Anolis sagrei: one gene and its partner. The protein of the gene in region 1 purifies or fractionates together with the protein of each later gene. This does not show direct contact. Links are inferred from orthologs where the notes say so. Each region holds a gene or a part of one and is shown on either strand. Other genes may lie near its edges. The genes, in order: FBXL12 and STYX.

Region 1 (15,739 bases):
GAATTGGCCGTCTGCAAGGACGTTGCCCAGGGGACGCCCAGATTATTTGATGTTTTTTACCATCCTTGTGGGAGGCTTCTCTCATGTCCCTGCATGAGGAGCTGGAGCTGATAGAGGGAGCTCATCTGCCTCTCTCCAGATTCGAACCTGCAACCTGTCGGTCTTCAGCCCTACCGGCACAAAGGTTTAACCCACTGCGCCACCGGGGGCTCCTATTCTCACTATAACTTCCACAAATAACATGGTTAAAAATGCCTCAAAGACCACATCTAACACATGTTGTTATATCACATTTATTATAAACATTTGTATTTTTAAAAAACACACAGTTTGAGAAGATATCTTCTAGTTTATTGCCATAAGGGATAAAAATATTACTAGCCACAATTCATGCAACTAAACAAGCCATTGACACTTTCAATGAAATTAGAAATGAAGAAAAAAGAAAAGAGACCATGACAGATATGAAATCTTCCACAACCAAATTACTGATAGTATAGTTCTAGGTTCATGCCATCATGGATTTCATCTGAAAGTAAAAAGTTAAGGTGAATTCCCACAGGAAAACATTCAGGTCTAGTAAGTGAGCTTAATGTGTAAATCTAGAAAAGTCTACGATACTACCAAAATGGCATTTCCTTTGGAAACATCACAGATGCTGATCCTCATATTTTCAAACTGCCAGAAGCCATACACAGACCTACAAATTAACACTTTATCAGGAAACAACACACCAGATGTTGACATGAAATTTCACCAGTCTTCATTTTAGCTATACTAACCAAGGCTGCTGGGAATTTCAACACTAGATAGATACCAGTTGGCTGCTCCTGTTTTAAATACTGAGCAATATATAGTAAAAGGCAGAGACAGAGCCATTTCACATATTATCATCTCAGCCTTTACATTAAACTTTAATGGAAAACGTAATATATAAACATAGGACTTTTTATAAACTCAAGCACATTACACAAATCTGAAAAATGAAGCAGAGATATCAGCAAGCCTACATCTAGAACCCCTTTTCTTCTTTTGTAAGGCCAGCAAACTTTTCCATCAACCCAATATTTCTCAAATGGTGCTCCTCCAGATGTTTTGCACTTTAGCTCCCACAATTCCTAACAGCTAGTAAACTGGCTGGGATTTCTGGGAGTTGAAGTCCAAAACACCTGGAGGAGCACAGTTTGAGAAACACTGCATTAACCTATAGGCATGGTTAGGCAATCCTAATCTGCTATAGAAATCAAACATTTAACACTGCATGTTGTTACTAACAGATTTGTGTAAATGTTTCAAAGAGCCACTAGGTGGCAAAACCTTTACTGTTGCCAATTTTTGTGACCCCAACATTGAATTAAAAGGGTCTCATTTGAGGTCAGGACCCCCAGTTTAAGAAGTAGTGATATAAACTGTGACTTTTAAATAAGATTTTAAGACTAAGCCAGGGCATGTTGTGAAGTGTTTTGTGTATTTTGGTAGGTTTTTAATGGTTTTCACTATATTTAATACTGCTTTGTATAACTCTATTTTTGGCTGTATATGTTTTAGGTTTTGAATTGTCTATTGTATAGTTTTTAGGATTGTTTGTCACATTAAGTTCCTTTTAAGAGAGCAAAGGCAGAATTTCCCACTTTTATGCCTTATTCTGAAAACATTGTATTTTCCAAAAAAAAAAAAATCAAAATTTCATTATACAAAATGTGAAAGCCCCAAATCTGTTACTCTGCTTGTATCTGTGCACATCTAAACACATACACATTATTCAAGAAGAACTTAAAATGTCCACTTTCTATTCAGCTCTTGTTTGCATGATGAAAAAGGGAAGCAAGTTATAGAACTGGGTATTTTAATCAATTTTTGTCTAAAATTCAGTAAAACCTTTCTATGATCTCCAGATACAGTGTGGAATACAAATATTTTAAAAAGAGAATACATAAAGACCCAGTAGAATCAAAAATGTATATAAGTAAACTCTGGTCTATTGGCTAAGAGTATTTTGTGCAAGTCTTTTTGCAAAAGTATAAATAAATCGGAAATGATTTCAAAGCAACTATCCAAATAACATTACTGAATTTAAAGATGATTAATGAGTGCTGTTCCCTTCTCTGTACATATAGTAAAGCTCTTACTTATTGTCAACCACCAGGATTAAGGATACAGTCTGCCAGTGACACATGGTCCTTGAAAATTGTGTACCTATAACATTAAATATATATATAGTTAATTTTAATTTGCTACACAAAGCAAATTAACAATGACAATTATTTCTGTTAAAACATGAAATTAACATAATTACACACACAACAATCTGGGAACAATGGGCTTTACATGGAATTTTCCTTAAAGATGGCTCCAAACATTATCTTGCAGCAGAAGCAACTGGATGTTTGTAAGAGTAACTTCCTGTGATTATTATATATTACAATAAGATATAAGTTGCCATTCTATTTTGGGATGTAATGTAATTTGTGGATATGACTTCTACAGCTTTAAATGACTGAATCAAAAATATGCTAGGAGTGTCTCTTTCTATATGCCCTACAGACTTGAGATATTTAGGTCTATGTTGTTAACTGTCAAAAGTCTCATTATTGGAAATAGGGCAGAATATAAACAAAATAATAATACTCATCACCCCTCTGTTTCCACAACTTCCAGATGGAATGCCCTTGGACTGCATGGGTTCCTCATCTTGCCCATAGGGCTTTACTAGTGTTATTTCCCATCAGAGATTAGAGATAATATTTATTTATTTATTTATTTGATGCACTTATTAACCGCCATTCTCAGCCCATAAGGGCGACTCATGGCGGTGTACAGTACACATAAAAGACAATTACAAAAGCCAGTTCAACAACATCTAAACTAACAACACTTACAGACTACACTAAAAATCCGCTTCGTCTCATAGTGGAATCATAACCCGTCTCATATTCCTTATTCCATTCCAATTCTTCTTTACCGTAATGTTGGCACTTAATTAAATGCCCTCTCGAACAGCCATGTCTTAAGGCTTTTTCGAAAGGACATGAGGGAGGGCGCCTGTCTGATGTGTGCAGGGAGAGTGTTCCACAGCCGGGGGGCCACCACCGAGAAGGCCCTCTCCCTCGTCCCCGCCAGCCGTGCCTGTGAGGCAGGCGGGATCGAGAGAAGGGCCTCCCCAGACGATCTCAAGGTCCTCGTGGGCTCGTAGGCCAAGATGCGGTCCGAAAGGTATTTTGGGCCGGAACCGTTTAGGGCTTTGTAGGCCAAAACCAGCACCTTGAATTAGGTCCGGTAGCAAATCGGCAGCCAGTGGAGCTGGGACAACAGGGGCGTTGTGTGCTCCCTGCCACCCGCTCCAGTTAGTAACATGGCTGCCGCGCGCTGAACCAGCTACTCAAACTTTAAAGACCTTCCATGAAAATGACCTGCACTGTTGTGCTGAGCTTATTCTGCAGTGAATATGCATGGACAGAGCTATGCCTGAGAGGAAAATACATATATATACATATATATATGTATATATGTATGTATGTATATTTGGCCCTGTCCCATTGGTTCAGAGCAACCTACTCTTTCCTTGTTTCCAAGCACTGCTTGTTGCTAGAATGCGTCCTCAGGATCCTTCCTGAATTGGAATCTGGCCTGACTAACCCTGAATGAGGCAGTTCAGAGACCCACCAATAAGAAATAGAGCCTCTTCCCAAAGCTATCTTCCTTCAGAGGAAAGCAAAATTATTTTTGTTCCTTTTCTGATTGAGTTTATCTGGAATTCTGGAGTGACAATATTCTGCCATTGTGAGCTCTTGTTGAGTACAATTTGAAATTATTTAGTTTATAATTTTTATTGTTTTATGATCCTTTTGAATTATCTGAGAACCATTTTGGCTGGGAGGCAATAAATAAATATTTATAATAAAATACAATTGGTCTTCCACATTTGCAGGTCTTGTGTTCACAGCTTCAGTTGTAATCATCCCACATCAAAGTCTACAGACTTGCAGACTTTTGTGGGGAAATGCCAACTGAAACCATTGCTATTCTGCCCCCTGAAGTTACAGGGAGTGGAATAGCAATGATTTCAGTCACCATCAACCCCCAACCAAAGTCTGTAAACCTTTAGTGAAGGGTGGGTGGCAACTGACATTGTCGCTACTCTGCTCTCTGCTTCAAGAGACAGCACAGCAAATTCACTCGCATCCACAAATGCACAATGCTTAACCCGCAAATGTATTGGGATAGCTGTACTTTTGCACAGGAGGGAGAGGGGAGACAGCCTTTATATATTATCCTTGGGTCTCTTGTATTCAGGACACAAATGATGCTCTTGAACTCTGGCTCTCAGAACTAGACTAGGACAGTAATGCCATATACAATTCTGCCTGAAACAAAAGTACCATTCTTTTATTGAAATCTGTCCACATTTCTACTCACCATTTCTTTAGTACAATCTTGTCCCACCGAGTTCCAGTCTGGGCCGCAATTAGCTTTTTCAGGTCCCGGATGGTGTCATCAGAGCTGAGCAATAGTACCAGTTAAGCAAAATGTATCTCAAGTGGAGGCCTCTTTGTGATAAACTCTAAGAGACTAATGTTTTTTTCAGATTATTAAATGGAATACACATTGCGGTCGTGCATAAATCTTCTACCGGCCACCTCTCTCCCTCCCCTCTGTTTTCCTTACTTCCCACACATACATCTTTGGAACCATTATATGTGTTTTCCTAAATCCTGGAGAAAAAAAATATAAATATTTCAATATTTTAACATCCCTACCTAGGGTGGGTAATCTTTAAACATATATAATCAAAACACCTATTTAAAAAAAACACTCCTAAGTAGAGTTTTCTCCATCTTTGAACAAAATTTGTTTACTGCAACACAAAAAAAAGTTATGCTTGTGCAGTATCACATGACCCAAGGCTTCCTGCTTATTTTTTTTGCTTATTTTTTTAAAAAAGCACTACCTTCAGTTTAGAGATTATTAAACACCTGTCTAATGCTCTTTCTCACACACACACTTTCACTCTATACCAATCTTCTCCATTAAGCATGTGCCTTAATCCATTCTTATATCCATTCTGCTTGAGCTGTTGCTTTTTGAACTTTAACTTGCCTGACAACAGGCATTCTAGTCCAAATGTAGACAACGTATTAGAGTGATCCCATACTTGGGAGTAAACCAAGCGAGGGGAATTATAAAGCCTTCCAGATACTGTTGCTCAGAAAATTGCTGGAATAGGAGAAAGCATTATTTCAAAAGGAAGTGACTATTAAGACAATTTCTGAGTCATTTCTTATGTTCACAGTCGCCTACACTTATGTTACACTGTGCTCATATTTCAAGTGAACAGTTCTCATCACAGATATTTCCCTTGTTAAGTATCTGTTTTGTATGTGTCAAGAGTCTTCACAAATAAAACAGAAATTAAATATAAGGCTAGAAAATATAGTCTAGCTCCCCCTAGGTGTTCAAAAATTACATATTTCTGTTTTGGATACTTGCACTTGACTCTCACTTTCTTGCCCAGACGATCATTGCAAACCACTTCAATCATCCCGATCCGGTGTCAATGGTAATCAGTGTACAAGAAACGGCTGAGTTAGGAGACCTCTAGTCTCCTGCCTTTAGGGGTACTGTTGGAAGAAAGAAACAGAGAAAAATGTGATCAGTCACTTCAGATAGAGAAGGGGTTGTTTGCTTTTTCAAAGCACAATCTCAGGAAAAGAGAGTGAGGTCGGAATTCCCAAATTCTGAGTGAATCTAGCTGAGATTTGTACAATAATATCATACTCCCTACCGCACAGAACGTTATGGGTAAGTCCAGACATGCCTGTCTTCCACTTGTAACATCACAGGATTTTCCACCACTTCATCCATTTAATAGTGGATAACTGTACAATGTAATTCAACTGATAATACTATTGGCCCTTCATCTGGGAGCAACTAGGCCACTGAGTGCCCTGGGACAGGATACAAAATTAATTAATTGAGAAGCTCCGCTGCTGTACTCTTCCTTATTTAAACCTTCTCATATTTATATAAACTGTATTACATAACTCTTCCAGAATGGTTTATTAACCCCTATTAACTCCTAAACTATTGTATTGCTCAAAATAAGAAAAAATGGAAGCACTGACATCCAAGAGGTACAATCAATCATGGGAACACTACCATTTTAAGAAGCCATAAAAAGAATAGCAATTTCTATAATGTTATATGTGTTAGCCTGTCATAGCAAAAACAACGACTATAATGGTACCTTAAACACTAAGAAGTTTGGTATAAGGTTGGGGGGGGGGGAGGAGTCCAACCCTCTGTATAAATTTATGTCCAAGCTATGTGTATAAGGCATACACATAGGCCTAGTCTCTAGGTCGCCTGTTCTGCAATTCATTCACTTCCCCGACCCTATGACATGTTGTTTACACTATTCCTTGCTCAGCCCTTATATTTTTCAGCTCCATCTTAGCCATTGGTATTGCTGAACCTCACCCAATGGCACTATGATGTAATTAGTTTATATTTTTAGTGCGTTTTATCGGGATTTTTGCATTTTATGGAGTTTTTATTTTTCTCCATTTTTTATTATGTTGCAGCTAGGTTGCTCTATATTTTCCAATGTGTCTAGTCCTGATGTAAATTGTTTGTACTGTTTTCTTTTATCATTGAATGTTTGTCATGTTTTTTTGAAACCGCCCTGTGTCCCTTTGGGGAGATAAGGCAGTCTATAAATAAATTATTATCATTATTAAATAAACTATATTCTTGCTGTGAGTCTTCTGAATAACTGAAGATGTCAGCCATTGATGCAGAAGAAACGTTAGGAGAGAATGCTGCTGGAACACTGGCCATACAGCCCAAAAACTCACAACAACCCAGTGATTCTGGACATGACAGCCTTCAATACATTGAAATATAATAGAATTCTGTGTTCAGACTCCCATCTCCAAGATATCTCATTGTTCATTCGCTCAATCATTTCCGACTCTTCATGACTTCATGGACCAGTCCACTCCAGAGCCCCCTTTTGGCCATCACCACCCCCAGCTCCTTCAAGGTCAATCCAGTCCCTTCAAGGATTCCATCCATCCCTCTTGCCCTTGGTTGGCCCCTCTTCCTTTTTCCTTCCATTTTCCCCAGTATCATTGTCTCCTCTAAGCTTTCCTGTCTTCTCATGATGTGGCCAAAGTACTTCATCTTGGCTTCTACTCTCCTTCCCTCCAATGAGCAGCCAGGTTTTATTTCTTGAAGTGTGGACTGGATCTTCTTGCTGTCCAAGGCACTCTCGGCACTTTCCTCCAACGCCACATACATATATCTCATTATGTACATGCAAATACTCCAAAATCTGAAGAAATTTTAAAAAATCCAAAACACTTCTGGCACCAAGCATCTTGAGTAAAGGAAACTCAGCCTGTGTTGTGGCTGTTCAACTTCAAGCCATCTTTCAATTTGTCCTGAGGAGAAGCTATTGCGGGGCTTTCTTGGCAAAAATTGGGCTGGATCTACCCTGCCATATAATCCAGTTTCTGAAACCAGGTTATCTGATTTGAAGTGGTTTATATGAGTCTACACTGCCAAATAATCCAGTTTAAAGCAGATAACCTGGATTATATGGCAGGGTAGATGGGACCTGGCCTTGCTCAGAGGCCCAGAGAATGTGAATCGCTCAAAGAATCCATATAGTGTCTATAGCTGAGTGGGGGCTCAAACCTTAGACTCCAGAGGCGTGGTTCGACGCTGGCTCTGAATAATCCACCAATCAGAATCAGAATAATACCAGATGAAAGGAAAGAGTCCCTTCGCACCCGAATTTCAGTTCAGCCTGAAATTCCCCGGAGAAGTAAAAGAAGAGCCACCCACAGAAGCACAGCTAACCTCACTCTGGGGGCTTCGGGAGCTTTCCCGGCCACTGTCCGGGGCCTGGAGGGCTAAAGCAGCCGGCCTTGCTCCTTTCACCTACCCCAAGGAAAGCGGGCCGAAACAGTCACGGAGGAACTCACGCAGAAGCCCGAAGGGGGAAGAAAGCGGAAGCGGAAACGTGCCTCACACGCCCGGAAGCGGAAATCGGAGGAGCCTGGTCGAACGTTCCAAGGAAAGGCGGGAGAAGCTCTCAAATGGAAGGCATACACTCAGCCATGTCGGTGCCCAGCCTCGCCACACTCCCGGACTCGCTCCTGCTCGAGATCCTGGCGTGGCTGCCCCCACGTGACCGAGTGGGCGGAGCCAGGTGAGGGCTCCGGGCGGGGAGGGAGCTCTTCTCCCACCCTTAACTGCCGTGGGATTCTGGGGGATGTAGTTTAGTGAGGCCCGACAGCGCTCTGCTGAAGAGTCAGAAGGCTCCTCCCATTCTATTGGATGTTGCCATGGCAGCTGCGGTGTGATGTGATAGGGCAGTCCGCATCACTCTCCTTCCTGGCGTCCCAAAGGTTTCTCCAAGGCTCAGAAGAGGTTCTGTTAGTCCAGTGGTTCTCAACCTTCCTAAGGCCGCGACCCCGTAATACAGTTCCTCATGTTGTGGTGACCCCCAATCATAAAAATTATTGTTGTTGCTACTTCAGAACTACTATTATGAATTGTAATGTAAATATCTGATATGCAGGATGTATTCTCATTCACTGGACCAAATTGGACAAATACTCAATATGCCTAAATTTGAATACCGGTGGGGTTGGGAAGGGATTGATTTTGATATTTGGAAGTTATAGTTGCTGGGATTTATAGTTTGCCTACAATCAAAGAGCATTCTGAGCTCCATCAACAATGGAATTGAACCAATTTTGGCACACAGACCTCCAATGACCAAAAGAAATATATTGGAAGGGTTTAGTGGGCACTGACCTTGAGTTTGGGAGTTGTAGTTCACATACATCCAGAGAGCACTGTGGACTCAAAAAATGATAGATCTGGGCCAAACTTGGCCCGAATACTCAATATGCCCAAATGTGAACACTAGTGGAGTTTGGGGAAAATAGGCCTTGACATTTGGGAGTTGTTGTTGCTGGGATTTATAGTTCACCTACAATCAAAGAGCATTCTGAACTCCACCAATGATAGAATTGGGCCAAACTTCCCACATAGAACCCCCATGACCAACAGAAAATACTGTGGTTTTTGATGGTCTTTGGGGACCCCTCTGACACCCCCTCATGACCCCCCCAGGGGTCCCGACCCCCAGGTTGAGAAACACTGTGTTAGTCCCTTCCTCAGATATATCGCCTACGGCACTTGGTATTCGTTGGTGGTCTCCCTTCCAGGTGCTAACCAGGGCTGAGCCTGCTTAACTTCCAAGGCCAGACAGAATCTGGCACTTTTAGACTAAATGCCCAGGGTGTATAGCAGCGTTTCTCGACCTGGGGGTGAGGACCCCTGTGGGGGATCACGAGGGAATGGCAAAAGGGTCTCCAAAGACCAGCAGAAAACACAGCGTATGCTAATGGCCAGACTAACTTATAACAGGAGGAATACAAGAGAGTCAGTAATATAGAGGAGTCTTGTCGAAGGCTTTCATGTCCGGAATCACTGGGTTGTTGTAGGTTTTCTCAGGCTATATGGCCATGTTCTAGAGGCATTTTCTCCTGACGTTTCACCTGCATCTATGGCAAGCATCCTCTGAGAATGCTTGCCATAGATGCAGGCGAAACATCAGGAGAAAATGCCTCTAGAACATGGCCATATAGCCCGAAAAAACCTACAACCAACATAGAGGAGCTCCATTAGGAATTTAGGTTTACCGTGAATAAGGATAGATAAATAGGCTTAAAGGCTTCATAGTGTTTCAGTGTTGGAAGTCATGGTGAAGGGTGCACGGGTGTGGGGAAGAGGTTTTATTTTGTGTGGGATAAGGGTTCTGGGATGAGTGTGTGGTTTGCTGTGTGTAAAATGCCATGTGCTGATTTTCTGAATGTAATGGGAAAAAATTGAATAGAAAGCTTTGACTGAAAGTAGTGGATAACATACAGAAATAGCAAGTCTCTGTGTTTTAAGTTAAGTAACTGATAATAATTTGTACTCAATTTCAAAATTAACTGGTTGGTTGATTAAGATAGATAGGCATGTACACGTCAAAAATATTGTTACCTGATTATATCTGTCACGATTCGCTTTTCTGTTATGTGCCATAACCAAAATAAACAGTTAAATAAAACAACATTTTCTATTGGTATTGGGGGGTTTGTGTGGGAAGTTTGGCCCAATTCTATCATTGGTGGGGTTCAGAACGCTCTTTGATTGTAGGTGAACTATAAATCCCAGCAACTCCAACTCCCCAATGTCAAGGTGTATATTCTCCAAACTCCACCTGTGTTCACATTTGGGCATATTGAGTATCCATGCCAAGTTTGCTCAAGATCCATCATTGAGTCCACAGTGCTCTCTGGACATAGGTGAACTATAACTCCAAAACTCAAGGGCAATGCCCACCAAACCCTTCCTTCTGTTGGTTATGGGAGTTTTTTGTGCCAAGTTTGGTTCCGTTCCATCGTTGGTGGAGTTTAGAATGCTTTTTGATTGTAGATCAACTATAAATCCCAGCAATACAACTAACAAATGACAAAATCAACCCCCCCCCCCCAATTCCACTAGTGTTCAAATTAGGGTGTATTGGGTATTTGTGCCAAATTTGCTCCAGTGAATGAAAATACATCATGAATATCAGATATTTACATTATGATTCATAACAGTAGCAAAATTACAGTTCTGAAGTAGCAACTAAAATAGTTTTATGGTTGGGGGTCACCACAACATGAGGAAACTGTATCAAGGGGTTGGGGCATTAGGAAGGTTGAGAACTACTGGTCTATAGTGAGCGATAGGATGCCTGTTCCATCTAGGTATTTGGGACTGCAGGTCCCTCCAGTGGTTGGTCATGGTGCTTGGGGTTTCTGGGAGTTGTTGACAGGCAAAATGAGGCACAGGGGTTCTGCCTCTTTATGGAACATGCATAATGGGGAATCAATTTATATTGTCCTGAAAACAACACCTGCAGAACTTCTTTCTGCACAGCCGTTAAAGGAACAGGAAATAGTCATCTTATTTCAGCTGACAAGGTTCTTGGAAACTAAATTCACTAGAAAGGAGGAAACCATTAAAATGAACAAATTCTGGCTACCAGTATTAACTAAACTCTAAAATCAGGACAGTAAATAAAGAACAACACTCAAAAACTAGGGGAATTCCAGACAAGAAGCAATTAGGGCCAGCTAACACTGCCAAACAAAGGATTCCCCCAGGCAGGAAGCAACCAGGCTTTGAAGCTGCAAGGCCATTAAATGCTAATCAAGGTGGCCAGTTGCAACATTCACACTTTCCTCAAGCAGACAAGAGTTCTTTCTCCCACCCTGTATATTCCACAGATCTATAGATCTCACTTGCCTAGTTTCCAACAGACCTCACAACCTCTAAGGATCCCTGGCATAGATGTGGGTGAAACATCAGGAGATAATGTTTCTGGAACATGGCCAGACAGCCCGGAAAACTCACAGCAACCCAGTGAATTCCATCTGTTTTATATTCATGCATTTGATTGTTGTTTAACTTGTATTGTGTTTTTACCATGTTGGAAGCCGCTTTGGGTCCCCATTGTGGGAGAAAAGCACATATAAATAAGGATTTATTATTATTATTATTATTAGTAGTAGTAGTAGTAGTAGTAGTTGTTGTATAAAGTAGAAAAGAATCTGGTGGCCACTAGATCTTCATTCCTAGTTTAGAGCGCAATATGGACAGCAACATAAAACTAACTCCTTTGTTAAAGATACAGGAGCCTTTGTGACAGGGAAGGGAGATATTCTTGCCTTCTGCTTTGTTCTCCCCCCCCCCCCCCCCCCCCGCCGCTTTGACTATGAAACACCAGGCCTGCTTTGGAGCCTTGTAAGATATCAAGGCAACTCTCTAAGCGCTACTGTGTACCTTCAAAGCAGCATGTTTGCTCCAGCAGTGCAGAAGGGCTGCTCCGAAGGCATGTCTAGAGCAGCTATCAAAGGGAAACAAAAGCTATAAGCTTACAAATGGTTAGTTGGGGACCCTAATGCATCTTGTTGCAGTGTGATGAAGTCCTGGCATTCATTTTTGGGGATGTGGCCCTTTTGATCCAATAAAAATAAGCTGAAACGGTGTTATTTCTATTTGGCTTGCCTAAGGAAATGCAAGTTAAACACTTAAGAATGGCTCAGGTGCAGAAGTTCTTCAAAATCCTGTTGTCCCTATGTTTCCCTCTTCAATGGGTGTCCTGAAATGTAGTTTCAAAGAAGTCCCTGGCCTACATATGTTGAGAGGTGTTCATCAGTGGAGAGAGTTTTTGGACATTGCCAAAATCCATTCGCCCAATATGAAGTTCTAGTTTGTGCAGAGAAGTAACCCCTCATCCAGACTGAATTCTGAAACAATTTATTTTTCTATATAAGTGCTTACTATGTATATGCTGTTGCTCCCTCCTCTCCATGCACACCAACAATGTGGCATTGCTTCACAGTTACCTCCAATTAGTTTCCTCACTACTTCTGCAACAGGATCCTTGACTACAGTTTTCAAAGAAGCAGCTGTGTTAATTTCTTGCAGCATAAAAAGGAAGGAGGGAGTGGGAAACAGCATCACCTTTAAAACAAACTAGTTTTTATTTCAATATCAACTTTTGTGGATGTAAACCCACTTGTTCAGATCCTCTGCATTGAAGCCACCCAGTCACTGCCTTTGGGTGAGAAGTACTAGTTGATAACAACTGATCACATCTTTCTACAGGGTTTGCAAGAGGTGGCGTCGCCTGGTGCGGGACAAGTTTCTGTGGAGGCATTTGGATCTAACTTCTTACAAGGTAACAATGGTCAAACTCCAGCACATTAGTAGGTATTTGTGAGCAAGGATCAGGAATTGCTGGGGTACTTCCTTGGCCATTGGGGTCCCTCAGGACTCTGTGTTGCCCCCCAACATATACATGAAACCGCTGGGAGAGATCATCCAGAATTTTGGAGTGTGATGCCATCTGTACACAGATGAACTGTAATACCATTACTCCTTTCCACCTAAAGCCAAGGAATCCGTTTCTATGCTAAATTAGTCTGTGGCAGCTGTAATGGACTGGATGAGGGCAAACAAATTGAAGCTTCATCCAGACAAGACAGAAGTTGGCCAATCAGTCATAACACCAATCTAGTAATAGAGATTCAGCATGTGTTAGATGGGGTCACACTCCCCCTGAAAACACAGGTTCACAGTTTGGGGGTACTCTAAATTTCAGCTCTGAACCTGGAGGCCCAGGTATTAGCAGTGACCAGGAATGCTTTTGTATAAAGCTAGCGCACCAACTGCACCCATTCATGGAGAAGGTAGATCTGGCCACGGTTGCAAATGTCTTCATTACATCCCAGTTAGACTACTGTAATGCACTCTGCATGGTGCTGCCTTTGAAAAGTGCTCAGAAACTTCAGTTAGTCCAAAGAGCAGCAGCCAGACTGCTGACTGAGACTGGCTACAGGGAGTGGACAATTCTGCTGTTACTACAGCTCCACTGGCTGCCAGCCTATTTCTGGACACAATTCAAAGTGCTGGTTTTGACCTACAAAGCCCTGTACAGCTTCTGTCCAGGTTATTTGAAGGACCATATCTCTCTCTATTAACTTCTCAGATATCTACAATCAACTGGGAAGGCCTTCTCTCTGTCCCACCACCCGATTAAGTGCATTTGGTGGGAACAAGTGAGGGCCTTTTTGGTGGATGCTCCCAGTATGTGGAACTCCCTCCTCCCCCTACCAAAAAACCAGGATTGGCCCTTCCCTGCTTGCATTCTGTGCCAGCAAGCCTTTAAGGTAGAAAGATGGGCATGCTGCTGGGGAGGTTGTGTGTGGGATTCTGGGGTGGGGAATTGTGATTTTTAAATGTAAGTTTAATTTATTATATTTTAACTATAGTTTAACTTTATATCTACAAAGTGCTATTTAATTTTTTTTTTTTTAAATTATTTGCTTTGTTTTAAACTTTGATCAGATTGTGTAGCTGTTAGACAACTTGAGTCTCCATAGGGAAAAAGCCGGGGTAGAAATAAAGTTAATACATTAAAAAATAGCTTTGCACTGTGGTGCAGTTACCTTTTCAGCCTCCAAAAGCCATTGCCAACACACTTTCAGGAAGGGCTAAAACCATATGTTTCTGCATTCATGTCATTTCCGACCTACATCAAATCTTTTAATGGAGTTTTCTTGGCAAAGTCTGCTCATGGGGGGAGGTTGCCCTTGACTTCCTCTCAGGCCAGGTATGACTTGCTCAAGATCCCCCAGTGGGTTTTCATGGCTGAGCAGGGATTTCTCTGTTATTATGTGGGTAAAGACTAAGAGTCTGAAGAATTTTGCAGCCAGTATAACAGCATATCTCCCATGCAGTACGATTTCAGATGCGTTTTGAATTTGGGAGTTATAAACTTTAACAGTTTCATTGTTAGCTGCAGAGCTGGGTGCATGTTGCTCTTTGCCTCCATGTTTCCTTGTTTTGGGTCACAAAGCATGCCACAGCCATCTTTAATTGGCTATTTATTTATTTTTTTTGTCGTGTCAGGAGCAACCGCTCCTGTTGTGAGAGAATTGGCCGTCTGCAAGAACGTTGCCCAGGGGACGCCTGGATGATTTTTGATGTTTTATCATCCTTGTGGGAGGCTTCTGTCATGTCCCCGCACGAGGAGCTGGAGCTAATAGAGGGAACTCACCCACCTCTCCCCGGATTCGAACCTGCGACCTGTCGGGCTTCAGTCCTGCCGGCACAGTGCTTTAACCCACTGGCTATGCCACATTGATTGGCTATGAACCTTCCCTATTAGTTACATCCTCAGGGTTCAGAGCAGATTATAATCTTGTACAGTGGAACTTTCCTTACATGAAAGATTCACAATTTACATTATAAAAAGCCCACCCACATGGTTAGATACTTTTTGACTGCCACGAGGAAGCATCTGAGATATAGATGTACTTATTTGGAGAGGGCAGAATATTCTAACACATGGTCACAATCACCAAACTACAACGTTTATGATTCTTAGGGGCCCATCTACATGGGCACCTAAATTCAGGGCAGATTAGAAGGATTCTGTTAAGGTGTTTTCACCTCACTGCTCTTGAACCATGGCAGCAGTGGGAGCAGAGCTGAGTCCATCCAGTCCAGCCCTGCTGTCCAGTCACTCTTACCTTTTCAGTTGTTTGTCACCATGGCAATGGAAACAGAATTCTGGATTGCATCAGGGCCAATGCGAGGCCCCCTTTTCTGACATCAGCAAAGGCTTTCACATGACTTGGGAAAAAGAGTGGGTGATTCTCCTTTTTTTGGGTCACAAAAGCAGTTTGGGTCCTTTAGCAGTTGGCTATCGCTGGGTGCCTTTGCTGATGTAAACAAAGGCCCCAGCTATAGCCAGGAGTTCTCAGGAGTACTCTCCAGAGCAGCAACAAACAAACAAAGGGTAAGTGCCATCCTGTTTTCTCAATGGAGCACATGGAAAACTCCTACTACCAATAATAATTATTATTTGTTTATTTATTTATTTATATTCCGCCCTCTCCCCCCAAAGGGGGCCCAGGGCGAATGGCAATCTATCTTGTATAAACAACTGAATCAATTTGAATTGGAACCAGCTGAGCTATTCATACTAAGCCCTCCAGAGCTTTCCTGAGTTTACTTAATGCAGGTTAAAATTGGGCTGATTTTACCCAATGTTAAGGGCCAGAAGTCTCTGAACATAGCACCCAAACATCAATAGCTTTACTGTATACCTTTTACT
Region 2 (15,946 bases), on another chromosome or scaffold:
GAACCAAGCTTGGCACACTGAACTCCCATGACCAACAGAAAATACTGGAAGGGTTTGGTTGGTATTGACCTTGAGTTTGGGAGTTGTAGTTGCTGGGATTTATAGTTCACCTACAATCAAAGAGCATTCTGAACTCCACCGATGATAGAATTGAACCAAGCTTGGCACACTGAACTCCCATGATCAACAGAATATACTGGAAGGGTTTGGTTGGTATTGACCTTGAGTTTGGGAGTTGTAGTTGCTGGGATTTATAGTTCGCCTACAATCAAAGAGCATTCTGAACTCCACCAATGATAGAATTGAACCAAGCTTGGTACACTGAACTCCCATGACCAACAGAAAATACTGGAAGGGTTTGGTGGGCATTGACCTTGAGTTTGGGAATTGTAGTTGCTGGGATTTGTAGTTCACCTACGATCAAAGAGCATTCTGAACTCCACCAATGATAGAATTGAACCAAGCTTGGTACACTGAACTCCCATGACCAACAGAATATAATGGAAGGGTTTGGTGGGCATTGACCTTGAGTTTGGGAGTTGTAGTTGCTGGGATTTATAGTTCACCTACAATCAAAGAGCATTCTGAACTCCACCGATGATAGAATTGAACCAAACTTGGCACACTGAACTCCCATGATCAACAGAATATACTGGAAGGGTTTGGTTGGTATTGACCTTGAGTTTGGGAGTTGTAGTTGCTGGGATTTATAGTTCGCCTACAATCAAAGAGCATTCTGAACTCCACCAATGATAGAACTGAACCAAGCTTGGCATACTGAACTCCCATGACCAATAGAATATACTGGAAGGGTTTGGTGGGCATTGATCTTGAGTTTGGGAGTTGTAGTTTACCTACATCCAAGGGCACTGTGAACTCAAACAATGATGGATCTGGAGCAAATTTGGCAGAAATACTCAATATGCCAGAATATGAACACTGATGGACTTTGAGGAAAATAGACCTTGACATTTGGGAGTTGTAGTTGCTGGGATTTATAGTTCACCTGCAATCAAAGAGCATTCTGAACTCCACTGATGATAGAATTGAGCCAAGCTTGGCACACTGAACTCCCATGACCAATAGAATATACTGGAAGGGTTTGGTGGGCATTGACCTTGAGTTTGGGAGTTGTAGTTACTGGGATTTATAGTTCACCTGCAATCAAAGAGCATTCTGAACTCCACCAATGACAGAATTGAACCAAGCTTGGCACACTGAATTCCCATGACCAATAGAATATACTGTAAGGGTTTGGTGGGCATTGACCTTGAGTTTGGGTGTTGTAGTTCACCTACATCCAGAGAGCACTGTGGACTCAAACAATGATGGATCTGGACCAAACGTGGCATGGATACGCAATATGCCCAATTGTGAACACTGATGGACTTTGGGGAAAATAGACCTTGATATTTGGGAGTTGTGGTTGCTGGGATTTATAGTTCACCTACAATCAAAGAGCATTCTGAACTCCTCCGATGATGGAATTGAACCAAGCTTGGCACACTGAACTCCCGTGATCAATAGAATATACTGGAAGGGTTTGGTGGGCATTGACTTTGAGTTTGGGAGTTCACCTACATCCAGAGAGCACTGTGAACTCAAACAATGATGGATCTGGACCAAACTTGGCATGGATAGCCAATATGCCCAAATGTGGACACTGATGGGCTTTGGGGAAAATAGACCTTGACATTTGGGAGTTGTAGTTGCTGGGATTTATAGTTCACCTACAATCAAAGAGCATTCTGAACTCCACCGATTATAGAATTGAACCAAGCTTGGCACACTGAACTCCCATGACCAACATAAAATACTGGAAGGGTATGGTGGGCATTGACCTTGAGTTTGGGAGTTGTAGTTGCTGGGATTTATAGCTCACCTACAATCAAAGAGCATTCTGAACTCCACCAATGACAGAATTGAATCAAGCTTGGCACACTGAACTCCCATGACCAACAGAAAATACTGGAAGGGTTTGGTGGGCATTGACCTTGAGTTTGGGCGTTGTAGTTCACCTACATCCAGAGGGCACTGTGGACTCAAACAATGATGGATCTGGACCAAAGTTGGCATGGATACGCAATATGCCCAATTGTGAACACTGATGGGCTTTGGGGAAAATAGACCTTGATATTTGGGAGTTATAGTTGCTGGGATTTATAGTTCACCTACAATCAAAGAGCATTCTGAACTCCACCAATGATGGAATTGAATTAAGCTTGACACAGGAGCCTCTCTACGGAGCTGGAGCCTATAATTAGCTCTGGTTCAGGAGATGTCAGGCAGGGAAAGGAAGAGAGACAAAGCCTTGCGCGGCCTGAGTAGCGGCGCATGCAGAGCTGAAGGGTTGGATTAAGGCCACTATGTGGTTAGCTGATGGGTGGGGACCCAGCCCCTCGGCCATGATGCGACCTACATTCTCACTGGCTTGGATGCGCGTGGAAACCAGTTCCAGCTGCAAAAGGGCAAGCAGTATATACAGTATATGTTTTCAGGTCTGCAAAACTCAGTCATTGCTCTTCATCTCGATTTCGTATCAGCAATAGGGCAGGACTGGATTCAAGCAACAGCAATGTTTACATCGGCCTTTAATAGGGTATTAATGGGGCAGCTTGGGTGTGATCCTGGACTCATCGCTGAGCTTGAAACTCCAGGTTTCGGCGGTGACCAGGGGAGTCCGTACCTCAGGAAGTCTGACTTGGCCACGGTAGTCCACGCTCTGATTACATCCTGTATAGACTACTGCAACGCTCTCTACGTGGGGCTGCCTTTGAAGACTGTTCGGAAGCTTCAATTGGTCCAACGGACAGCAACCAGGTTGTTAACAGGAGCAGCACTCAAGGAGCGCACAACTCCTCTGTTGCACCAGCTCCACTGGCTCCCAGTTTGCTACCGGGCACAATTGAAAGTGCTGGCTTTAGCCTTTAAAGCCCTAAATGGTTCTGGCCCAATTTACCTGTCTGAATGCATCTCTTCCTATAAACCATCTAGGTGTTTAAGATCATCTGGAGAGGCCCTGCTCTTGGTCCCGCCTTCTTCGCAGATCCGACTGGCGGGAACGAGAGACAGGGCCTTCTCAGTGGTGCCCCCCCCCCCCCCCCCGGCTATGGAACGCCCTCCTAGAGACATTAGATCTGTCCCCTATTGTGACTCAGCTGGAATCTCAGAGTGATAGTGTCAATGATTCTGATGGGGATGGTGGGTTTCAGATGCACAGTCAGTTGCAAAGTTATGATGTCCCTGTGTTAGACGAAGAAGACCAGGAACAGGGAGTAGAAGTTGTTTCCCACAGCAAGGGATGACGCTGGGGAAAAGGAAACTACTGAGAGCCAGGTGCATGATTTAGGAAGAGAAGATAGTTCTCAGCCTGATAATGAGAGGAAAAGCATTAACGAGGAAATTGACCTTGATGGAGCCGGAGGCTTAGATAGAGCTGATCGGTTGGAATTTAAGATCCGAAGGAGTGTCAGGATCTGGGTTGTTGTAGGTTTTTCCGGGCTATATGGCCATGTTCTGGAGGCAATTTTTCTACTGACGTTTTGCCTGCATCTATGGCAAGCATCCTCAGAGGTAGTGAGGATTATTATGATATATTATATCATAATATATAATATAATATATAATACAATAGAGCTCCTTTGAGTCTCCTTGTGGAGAGAAAAAGCAGGATATGATTATTATTAATATTATATTAATGTTAATATTAATAATAATAATATATAATATATAATAGAACCACTTTGAGTTTCTTTATGGAGAGAAAAAGCAGGGTATAAATAACAATAAATAATATATAATATATTAACATAATATAACATGAAATAAAGATGGCAGGGACCTAACAGAAGCTGAAGAGATCAAGAGAAGGTGGCGAGACTATACAGAAGATCTGTATAGGAAGGATAATAATATCGAGGATAGTTTTGACGGTGTGGTGAATGAATTAGAACCAGACATCCTGAGGAGTGAGGTTGAATGGGCCTTAAGAAGCATTGCTAACAACAAGGCAGCAGGAGACGACGGGATCCCAGCTGAACTGTTTAAAATCTTAAAAGATGATGCTGTCAAGGTGATGCATGCCATTTGCCAGCAAATATGGAAAACATATTTGAATGGCCATCAGACTGGAAAAAATCAACTTATATCCCCATACCAAAAAAGGGAAATGCGAAAGACTGCTCCAACTTCCGTACAGTGGCCCTTATTTCTCATGCAAGTAAGGTAATGCTCAAGATCCTGCAAGGAAGACTCCAGCAAGACATGGAGCGAGAGTTGCCAGATGTTCAAGCTGGGTTTAGAAAAGGCAGAGGAACCAGAGACCAGATTGCCAATATCCGCTGGATAATGGAGAAAGGCAGGGAGTTTCAGAAAAACATCTACTTCTGCTTCATTGACTATTCTAAAGCCTTTGACTGTGTGGATCATAATAAATTGTGGCAAGTTCTTAGTGGGATGGGCATCCCAAGCCACCTTGTCTCTCTCCTGAGGAATCTGTACAAGGACCAAGAAGCAACAGTCAGAACTGACCACGGAACAGGAGACTGGTTCAAGATTGGGAAAGGTGTACGGCAAGGCTGCATCCTCTCACCCAACCTTTTTAACTTGTATGCAGAACACATCATACGATGTGCGGGGCTTGATGAATGCAAAGCTGGGGTGAAAATTGCTGGAAGAAACATTAGCAACCTCAGATATGCAGATGACACCACTCTGATGGCCGAAAGCGAGGAGGAGCTGAGGAGCCTTCTAATCAAGGTGAAAGAAGAAAGCGCAAAAGCCGGGTTGCAGCTAAACGTCAAAAAAACCAAGATTATGGCAACAAGAATGATTGACAACTGGGAAAGAGAGGGAGAAACCGTGGAGGCCGTGACAGACTTTGTATTTCTAGGTGCAAAGATGACTGCAGATGCAGACTGTGGCCAGGAAATCAGAAGACGCTTACTTCTTGGGAGGAGAGCAATGTCCAGTCTCGATAAAATAGTGAAGAGTAGAGACATCAGACTGGCAACCAAGATCCATTGCCTAGTCAAAGCCATGGTCTTCCCTGTAGTCACCTACGGATGTGAGAGCTGGACCTTAGGGAAGGCTGAGCGAAGGAAGATCGATGCTTTTGAGCTGTGGTGTTGGAGGAAAGTTCTGAGAGTGCCTTGGACTGCGAGAAGATCCAACCAGTCCATCCTCCAGGAAAGAAAACCCGACTGCTCACTGGAGGGAAGGATACTAGAGACAAAGTGGAAGTCCTTTGGCCACATCATGAGGAGACAGGAAAGCCTAGAGAAGACAATTATGCTGGGGAAAGTGGAAGGCAAAAGGAAGAGGGGCCGACCAAGGGCAAGATGGATGGATGGCATCCTTGAAGTGACTGGACTGACCTTGAGGGAGCTGGGGGTGGTAACGGCCGACAGGGAGCTCTGGCGTGGGCTGGTCCATGAGGTCACGAAGAGTCGGAGACGACTGAACGAATGAACAACAACAACATGAAATGAAATGAAAAGAGAAGAATCTGAGCCAGTTTGGTGACTTTGATTGCATCCACACCTTACAAATAATGCAGTCTGACACCACTTTAACTGCTTTGACTCAATGCTCCTTTCCCTTTAAATCCTAGCCCCGCCCCCTATTTTGCATTGTGAGCAGCATGATCTGTTCTGTCAAGCTGCCGCTAACCACGCCCACTCCTTATAAGGCGCGCGTCTAATGGCCACGCCCCTTTCCCCCTTGCCGTTGGAGAGAGTGTGTGGGCCCCGTAGGAAGGGAAAAAGGGATGAAATGGGGCTAGTACGCATGCGCAGAGCAAATAGCCTTCGAGAGCGTCGCCGGCGACTATTGAGGAGCGAGTGGGCGTGGCTAGTGTGGAGAAGAAAATAAGGACAGAAAGTGGGCGTGGCTAGCTATAAGGGGAGGGGGAAGCGAGGGAGACGAGTTTGTGGATAAGTGACAGTTGGGGTGGGCGTGGCCTAGAGAGGAAAAAGCGAAAAGTGCGCATGCGCAGGAGGGAAACCTCAGAAACGCTGTTTGTGAGGAGAAAGCAGATGGTCCAAAAGTGGGCGTGGCAAGCGGGGCGAAAAAAATAAGGATCTAAAGTGGGCGTGGCTAGATAAAAAGTGAGGGAGAAGGAGGTTGTGGATGAGTGACAGCTGGTGTGGGCGTGGCTTAGAGGAGAGAAATGCGAGGAGTGCGCGCACGCATGCGCAGAAGGGAAACCTCGGGAGCGCGCTGCTGCTGAGGAGAAGACAGAATTAACCGTTGGGGAGGGGGAGGGAGGACCGAGAGGGGGCGTGGCTACGAAGAAAAACAGCGAGGAGGAGTGCGCGTGCGCGGCAGGGAAAACGACAAGGACTGAGAGTGGGCGTGACTTAGGGCCAATTGAGGGCGGGCTGAGACTGTGGCTTTGTGACAGTTGAAAGAGGGCTGAAAGTGGGCGTGGCTTGGGTAAATTGGGTGTTATTGAGTGGGCGTGGCTTAGCTACGGTTGAGAGGGGACTGAAAGTGGGCGTGGTCTGGGTACAGTTGAGGCAGGATTGTAGAGTGGGCGTGGCTTAGAGAGTTGAGAGAGGACAGAGTGGGTGGGGCTTAGGGACAATTGAGGGAGGACAGAGCTGGCGTGGTTTAGCGGCAGCTGAGAGGACTGAAAATGGGCGTGGCTTAGTGGTAGTTGAGAGGACTGAGAGTAGGCGTGGCTTAGCGACAGATGAGAGGAGTGAAAGTGGGCGTGGCTTAGCAACAGATGAGAGGAGTGAAAGTGGGTGTGGTTTAGCGACAGATTAGACGGCTGAAAGTGGGCGTGGCTTGGGGAGAGTTGAAGGAGTGCAGAGTGGGCGTGGCTTAGTGATTGAAAGTGGGAGTGGCTTGGGGAGACAGTTTCGAGAGTACAGTTTCGAGAGTGTCAATTGAGAGGCCTGAAAGTGGGTGTGGCTTGGTAGCAGTTGAGGCAGGATCGAGCGTGGGCGTGGCTTAGGGACAGTCGAGGGAGGAGTGAGAGTGGGCGTGGCGTAGAAGGAAAGACAAAGCGAGAAGTGCGCGTGCGCAGAAAGAATACAAAAAAGCCTGAAAGTGGGCGTGGTTTAGGGACCGCTGAAGAGAAGGATTGGGAATGGGCGTGGCTTAGAGGCAGTTGAGAGAGGACCGAAAGTGGGAGTGGCTTGGGTAAATTGAGGCAGGGATTAAAGTGGGCGTGGCTTAGGGAGGGCTGGGGGAGGGGTGGTTTAAGTGGCAGTTGAGAGAGGGCCGAAAGTGGGCGTGGCTTGAGTAAATAAAGGCAGGGATTAGAGTAGGCGTGGTTTAGGACGGTTGAGAGAGGGCGTGGCTTAAGTGACAGTTGAGAGAGGGCCGAAAGTGGGCGTGGCTTGGGTGAATTGAGGCCGGGATTAGGACGGCTGAGAGGGGGCGTGGCTTAAGTGACAGTTGAGAGGGGGCCGAAAGTGGGCGTGGCTTGGGTAAATTGAGGCCGAGGTTAGAGTGGGCGTGGCTTAGGGAGGGCTGAGGGAGAGGGCGTGGCTTAAGTGACAGTTGAGAGAGGGCCGAAAGTGGGCTTGGCTTGGGTAAATTGAGGCCGAGGTTGGAGTGGACGTGGCTTAGGGAGGGCTGAGGGAGAGGGCGTGGATTAAGTGACAGTTGAGAGGGGCCGAAAGTGGGCGTGGCTTGGGTAAATTGAGGCCGGGATTAGAGTGGGCGTGGCTTAGGGAGGGCTGAGGGAGGGGGTGTCTTCAGTGACAGTTGAGAGAAGGCCGAAAGTGGGCGTGGCTTGGGTAACTCGAGGCCGGGATTTGGATGGCTGAGAGGGGGCGTGGTTTAAGTGACAGTTGAGAGAAGGCCAAAAGTGGGCGTGGCTTGTGTAACTCGAGGCCGGGATTAGGATGGCTGAGAGGGGGCGTGGCTTAAGTGACAGTTGGAGAGGGCCGAAAGTGGGCGTGGCTTGGGTAAATTGAAGCAGGGAGTAGAGTGGGCGTGGCTTGGGCAGCTCGAGGCCGGGTTTAGAGTGAGCGTGGTTTAGGACGGCTGAGAGAGTGGCTTAAGTGACAGTTGAGAGAAGGCCGAAAGTGGGCGTGGCTTGGGTAACTCGAGGCCGGGTTTAGAGTGGGCGTGGCTTAGAGAGGGAAAGCGAGGAGGAGTGCGCGTGCGCGGTGCTTGTGAGGCGAAAGAAGGCAGGAAGGAAGGAGTGACCGGGCGGAGTGGGAGGGGCCGGCTCGCTCGCTCGCTCGCTCGCTCGCTTGCTTGCCAGCCAGCAGCATGGCGGCTGGGCGCGAGCCGCCGCCGCTGCCTCCTCTTCTTCTTCTCCCTTCTGCCTTCCCTTCCCTCCTCCTCCTCCTTCCTGGCGGCCTGGCGTCTTCCTCCGCGGGAGCCCCTCGTAGGCCCTCGCTCGGCCTCTTCCTTGGCCCCCTTCTTCTTCTTCCCTTCTGAGAGGAGAGGAGAAAGGAGGCAGCCTGACAGAAAAAGAGAGAGAGAGAGAGAGAGAAAGGGAGGAGGAGGAGGTCGTCGCCGGTCCCTCGCCGCCCGGCCATGGAGCTGGCCAAGCCGGTCTTCCCCGCGCTGCCCCAGCCCAAAGAGGACTCCGAGGTGAGCCCACCCTGGGGTTGTGTAGGGAGGGAGGCAGGCCGGGGAGGGGGAGGGGAAAGGGAGGGCACAGGTGCCTCACCTGCAAGGGGAGGGGGAGGAGGAGGGGGAGGGGATCAACAACCACACGAGAAGGAGATGGCCATTCTGTTGTAGATCCCCCCCAAAAGAAGGAGACTCAAAGCGGCTTACAGGAAAACCCAGGCAAGACCCTTTATTTGGAAGAATAGTATTATTATTATTATTATTATTATTATTGTGTATACTCTGTTTTTTCCCTCCAGAAAGAGAGAGATTCAAGGCAATACAATTTATTGTTGTAGTTATTATTATTATTATTATTCTCTGCATTTTTTCTCTGGAAAATGCAGAGAAAAACCAAGACAATAGAATTTGTTGTTGTTGTTGTTATTATTATTTTCACTGCATTTTCTCTCCAGAAAAAGAGAGGTTCAAGGCAATACCCTGCATTTTTTTCTCCAGGAAATGCAGAGAAAAACCAAGGCAGTAGAATGTATTGTATTTATTATTATTATTATTATTATTTTCTCTGCATTTCTCTCCAGAAAGAGAGAGGTTCAAAGTGGTTTACAGTAAAACCAAGGCAATACAATTGTTGTTGTTGTTATTATTATTATTATTATTATTATTATTATTATTATGTATACTCTGTATTTCCCTCCAGAAAGAGAGAGATTCAAGGCAATACAATTTATTATTGTTGTTATTATTATTTTCTCCAGAAAATGCAGAGAAAAACCAAGGCAGTAGAATGTATTGTATTTATTATTCTTATTATTATTATTATGTATAGCCTGCATTTTTTTCTCCTGAAAATTCAGAGAAAAACCAAGGCAATAGAATTTATTGTATTTATTATTATTATTATTATTATTATTATTATTATTATTCTCTCTGCATTTTCTCTTTAGAAAGAGAGAGGTTTAAAGTGGCTTACAGTAAAACCAAGGCAATACAATTTATTGTATTTATTATTATTATTATTATTTTATCTGCATTTTCTCTCCAGAAAGAGAGGTTCAAAGTGGCTTACAGTAAAACCAAGGCAATACAATTTATTGTATTTATTATAGTTGTAATTATTATTATGCCTACCCTGCATTTTCTCTCTAGAAAGAGAGAGGTTCAAAGTAGCTTACAGAAAAACCAAGGCAATACAATTTATTGCATATATTTTACTGACACAAAAGCACAGTATGTCACAGCAAACGAGAACTATATGCTGCAAAGGTGTGTGCCAAAGGGAATAACCATTTGAAATAATAATAACAATAATAATCATCATCATCATCATCATTACATATCATTGCATAATACTGTTATAAAATATTTATGTAACACAATATAGTCATACATATTGATATATGTTGACACATAATATGAATATACTATAATAGGATGTTGTTGTTCATTCGTTCAGTCATCTCCGACTCTTCGTGACCTCATGGACCAGCCCACGATATAATAGGATATCAGTATATAATATAAGGTGGGCAAAAGTCACTTGCAAGAGGGCGGGCTGAAGTGAACAATATTAATAATAATTATTATATTATCATACTACCACATTATTGTATTATAATAATAGTATAAAATAGTAATATAGCATAAACATTAAATATTATTGATATAATTGTATATTATATATTTATGTTATATATGAATATATCATATTACTATAGTATCATATAAGATTAATATATGATATAGAGTGGACCAAAAGGCATGAAGCTTTTTAACACATCTAATGTAAATTTAATTCTTGTATATACTGTGTATGATGCTATGGGTATTAAACACAATTTACAGAATTTTATTTCTCCCAGATAATGTAAATGTTGTCATCAGACATTTAGGGAATGATGAGGGACAGGCTGCTGAGGATGGTGTGCCTGGGATTTGTGGGGAGCTGTGTAGTTTTTCAATGCAGTTTTAATTGTATGTTTACGTTTATGTTTCATAACACAAAATATTTCAATCATTTAAAAATATCTTTTAATGCCTTTGCTCTGTTTTTAATTATATCTTTTGCTGTAAGTTGTCTTGAGTACCTGTGTCTTAAGAAAAGTGGAGTAGATATATAGAAAATAATAATAATTTCCCCTTTAAATTGTGTTCTCCTTCTCCCACTTCAAGGCTTGCTCTGAGACTTTGGGTTCTCTTCTTTTCTGCTTCAAAATATATGTGATGGGGAAGTAGTCTCGAATGTGCTGCTTGGTTCTTCCCCCTTCCCTTCCCTTCTTTCCTTCTCTTTATGATGAATTGGGATCATTAAAAATGAGTGACCTGAGAGAACTTCCTCAATGTGTGCCTTTGTGTGTGTTACAATGCCTTTGATTTTCTTTACACATTACACCTGAAGCTGGTTAGGGATTTTTAAAAAATTAGCACAGATTTTCATTCCTTCCTACACATTGAGTATCCTTTCTCCAAAATGCCTAGGACCAGAGGTGATTTGGATTTTGGATTCCCCTTCCCCTCCTACCCTGATTTTAGAATATCTGTGTTTGTGTGTATGTGCATAACCTTGGAAATGGGTACCAAGCTGAAACACAAATTCATTTGTTTCATGCAGACCTTATAGACATAGCTTGAAGGTAATTGTATGGATATTTTCCAGCGTGAAACAAATTTGGTGCACACTGAACCAACAAAATCAATATTTCAGTTGCCCATGTGGATAGTTTTAGATTTTGGAGCATTTGGGATTTTGGGATTCCAGAAAAAGGATACTCATACTCCAGTATATAAGATAACATTGTGGCACTTATAGCCTGCAGCATCTTCTAGGAAGCCCTTTACTCCTCCCTCCTGCAACTGTCATGTATGGATTGTATGACGAGTCTGCAGTCATATACTCATTTGGGGACGAGAACGAAGAAACCCAAATCTCTCAAGGGATCTTTTTCATTTTCCTGCTCTTTCAAGTTGCTTATTTTTTATTATTAATATTTTTTTTATTATTTAATAGTGCATGCAGAAAACAAAACAAATGAACAAAAGGAAAAAATGAGCAAAGGAAAAATATGCAAAAGAGTCAATATTCAGTGCTCATTAAACATAAGTATAACCAGATTTGGTTGTACAATTATTTATACCTTAACATTACATAACCCTCTGTCCCCCACCCATGAACCCCAACCCCTGACCTCCGAAACCCCTCAAAACAGGATCACATTACTAAACAACAACTACCCAAATACCTTCTTTCACTGAATCCCCTTTATGGCAATCTTCAAGTTTACCTTTGTCTTCTTTTCCAAATACCCAAGTGCCAGCCTCCATTTGTTTGCAAATTCTTCATTATTTCCTCCTCTGCTGCTATTTGTCAGCTTGGCCATTTGGATATAATCAAGGTGCATATTGTTCAGTCTCTTCTTCCTAGACTGTTTTGGGATTTGTGAACCATCTTGGAGTCACAGTTATGGGGAAAGGCATGGTTATGGTAGTAGTAGTAGTGACCTGTATACCTCTCAATCAGCAATGTCCAATTTCTTCCATCTGATGAAGGTACCCAGCAGGTACCTTGACTTGTTCCTACTTACAAATTGCATTTCAGTAAGACAGAGTGAATAATAAAGCTAGTAGGAATATAGGTCTTTTGTCTTACTTATAACCATTTTTGCATCTACAACACTTAAGAAAATTTAATTTTTCTGCTGCATTTGTGGTGTTCTGAGCAGGGTTGTTGTTGTTCTTGAATCTGTTGTCTCCTCCCAGGACACTGGCTGTTGTGAATGCTCAATAGCACCTCTTTTTCACTTTCTCCTGCATTTTCCATTCATCCGACATGGTAGATTTTTTAACATTTTCATATATTTGTCTTGGTACTATGGATGTTCCCAGTTGTTACCCTGTGTAAATTTAGTGTCCAGAATTTGAAGGGTGTTGTTAATTTTTTTCCACTTCATGAACACCCTACATAGCACACAGGTCATCCTTGGTAGTCTTCTCATTATTTAATTCATTGTTTCTCAACCTTCCTAATGACACGACCCCTTAATACGGTTCCTCATGTTGTGATGACCCACAACCATAAAATTACTTTCCTTGCTACTTTATATCTGTAATTTTACTACTGTTATGAATCGTAATGTAAATATCTGATATGCAGGATGTATTTTCATTCACTGAACCTAATTTGGCACAAATACCTGATTTGCCCAAAGTGGAATACTGATGGGATTGGGGGAGATTGATTTTGTCATTTGGGAGTTGTAATTGCTGGGATTTATAGTTCACCTACAATCAAAGAGCATTCTGAACTCCACCAATGATGGAATTCGACCAAACTTGGCACCCAGAACTCCCATGAGCATCAGAAAATACTGGAAGAGTTTGGTGGGCATTGACATTGAGTTTTGGAATTGTAGTTCACCTACATCCAGAGAGCACTGTGGAATCAAAACATGATAGAGCTGGACCAAACTTGGCATGGATACTCAGTATGCCCAAATGTGAACACAGGTGGAGTTTGGGGAAAATAGACATTGATATTTGGGAGTTGTAGTGTCTGGGATTCATAATTCAGCTACAATCAAAGAACATTCTGAACCTCACCAACGACAGAATTGGGCCAAACCTTCCACAAAACCCCCATGCCCGACAAAAAATACCCCTTTGACACCCCTTCGCAGCCCCCTGCCCAGGGGTCCTCACCCCCAGGTTGAGAAATGCTGACCTAAAGGATTTTGTCCTTGACTTATTATTTTATTTATTAAAATGTGTATAAGTTGCCTTTTATCATAAACATTACGGGATAAAACTGTCAAAACAAAAAGGATGGTGCAAACAAATAGCACTGCATCCAGGAATCTTTAAAATTGTTAGTGATGAATTTGTCTCTGTATATCTACACCTGAATGTACACTTTTACTAATGGGGGGAAGACCTGTACTGTAAGTGTCATATCTCTATGGGTTGCTAATACACCAACGTGAGGAGCAATCATGGCAAGGGTATCCTTTATGACAGAGACAGGAAACATGTGCTTCAAGATATTCTTGGACTGAAATTCCCCTCATCCCCCATTGTTGCCCAAACAGAGTCAGGTTGCTGGAAATTGCACTCCAGAAGCATTGAGGGTGATACATTTACCATCCATTATATGTAACGTCCCTTCCACTTTTAACTGCTTTTTACTTTTCTTGCTGGAATGGCTTTTATCACTCTCACATATATACTTTGTCGTAGTTTTTTCCCCCTCAGAACCATTTGGGTTTTTTTGTGCCTCTGCTCTGTAGATTCCCTCCTGTTTCATTTTTGGAATACACATTTCAGTTCCTTTCTATAAACAATTCCGAGCTTCACAGCAGCATTCAAGGGGATTTCCCCCTAGACACAATGACTCCTAGTATTTATTTTTAAATTATGATTTTATTGTTGGAGAATTTTGAATAGAAGATGGGTGGCCACCTTTCAGGGGTGCTTTAGCTGTAGATTCTTGTATTGCCAGGGCTTGTGGCAAGCAAACCTTGGTAAACTTTCCAACTTCCATGATTCTTGGAAGCTGCTTCCTAGTGAGTCTGATATGTAGACTAGTTGACATATCAAATGATGGCATCCCCCCCTCCCCAATGTGATTTTTTTTCCTGGAACTCCCTTTAACTGTTTATCTGTTTATCAGTTTAGACTTTTCTCTAATCTGTTGTTGCTGTTATCCTAAGAACTCAGTTGTACAAGCTGTTGTCACACCTGTTGATAAGATTTTGGTTATCCTGCAGTGTTAAATATCTCCTATTACTTGCAGAAGATCCTTTGTTTTAGGAAATACGTTGTGCTGGATGGAAAATTAGCAACCTGTAACTCTTTTTTGTGGTCTCTTCAAGGCCAAAGTATAGTATAAATCCATGGCAACTTGGTTATGAAGGTTTAAAAGCATAGTGGGTCTATGGTACCCACAGACATTCTGCTTCTAGGATCTGACTTTGAAAAGAAAAACCCTTTTGGGATGAGTGTATAGTCTGCTGTGTGTAAAATGCTATGTGCTGATTTTCTGAATGTTATGGAAAAAAAATGAATAGAAAGCTTTGATTGAAAGTAGTGGAAAACAGGCAGAAATAGCAAGTCTATGTGTATTATGTAAATGATAATAATTTGTACTCAGTGTCAAAATTAACTGGTTGATTGACTAAGGTAGATAGGCATGCACACATCAAAAATACTGTTACCTGATTATATCTGCCCCGATTTGTTTTTCTGTTATGTACCATAACCAAAATAAACAGTTTTATTTTTTTTAAAACCCCATACTAAATGGTGGCAATGTGAATCTGCACTCTTCAGCAGGAATTACAGGAAAGGAGATTCCACATGAACATTTAGGAAGAACTTTCTAACTGTGAGAGTTGTTCAGCAGTGAAACTCTCTCTCTCTACCCTGGAGTGTGGTGGAGGCTCCTTCTTTGGAGGCTTTTCTACTGGATGGCCATCTGTCGGGGGTGCTTTGAATGTGATTTTCTTGCTTATTGGCAGGGGGTTGTACTGGATGGCCCACGAGGTCTCTTCCAACTCCATGATACAGCATGTCCATATTCCCATTGCCACCATATGCTAATATGGGGTGTGATAATCCGTAGTAGCTGGAAATCATGCTTCTAGAACTGTAGGACCAGTTGTAATTATTTCCTCACCCCCTTCTTTTCTACAGGAGATTCTAGTAGTCTTTTCGGGTGTACTTAGATTAGATAGTACTCTGTACTGTACTTCATCCTGGCCCTGTGATACTCTCATGCATTACCCCTTGCCCATCCCTTTTATGGTTGGTCACCTCCATTTTCTAATCCTGTCTGTTGGTATTTTGAACCCATCTGATGGAGCTATAATGAAATTGGTTTTTAAATATTTGCTATATGTTTTAGCAGGTTATTATGTTTATTTTAGGTTGTCTGTATGGCTTTCCTTTCTGGGAATTGAATAGTTATATGTTGGAAACCGCCCTGAGTGTCGTAGGGGTGACAGGATGGTATATAAATAAAGTTTCTTGTTGTTGTTGTTGTTGTTGTTGTTGTTGTTGTTGTTGTTGTTATTTGAAGCACAACAAGATGAGTCCACAGCAGATACTCTGCTGGCTGTTGTATTGGATCACCCATCGGACACTTCCCAAGTGTATAGGACTGTGTGACATATCGGTGAATAATATGTGCAGATCCCAGTAAGGTGGCCTTTTGCAGCTGGCAGATGGTAATTTTGTCAGCGCCGATTGTGTTTAAGTGCAGGCCAAGGTCTTTAAGCACTGCACCCAGTGTGCCGATCACAACTGGGACCACCTTGACTGGCTTGTGCCAGAGTCTTTGCAGTTCAATCTTTAAATCCTCATATCATGTCAGCTTCTCCAGTTGTTTCCCTTCAATCCTGCTGTCGCCTAGGAT

The links.
Region 2: the proteins of FBXL12 (region 1) and STYX purify together in Homo sapiens (affinity purification with mass spectrometry; 4 studies listed by BioGRID and IntAct, with this or other methods). This does not show direct contact. The link is inferred for Anolis sagrei from reciprocal best matches to the Homo sapiens genes FBXL12 and STYX.

The regions. Positions count from the first base shown.
Region 1 is NC_090022.1:147,590,533-147,606,271, reverse strand, and holds the start of FBXL12 (F-box/LRR-repeat protein 12), read left to right. Parts: upstream 1-8,102; coding exon 8,103-8,215; intron 8,216-12,723; coding exon 12,724-12,796; intron 12,797-15,739. Other genes in the region: UBL5 (ubiquitin-like protein 5), read right to left, coding at 486-529, 2,159-2,196, 4,417-4,500, 5,484-5,539. UniProt on the Homo sapiens protein: Substrate-recognition component of the SCF (SKP1-CUL1-F-box protein)-type E3 ubiquitin ligase complex.
Region 2 is NC_090021.1:339,033,494-339,049,439, forward strand, and holds the start of STYX (serine/threonine/tyrosine-interacting protein), read left to right. Parts: upstream 1-8,099; 5' UTR 8,100-8,502; coding exon 8,503-8,559; intron 8,560-15,946. UniProt on the Homo sapiens protein: Catalytically inactive phosphatase. Acts as a nuclear anchor for MAPK1/MAPK3 (ERK1/ERK2). Modulates cell-fate decisions and cell migration by spatiotemporal regulation of MAPK1/MAPK3 (ERK1/ERK2).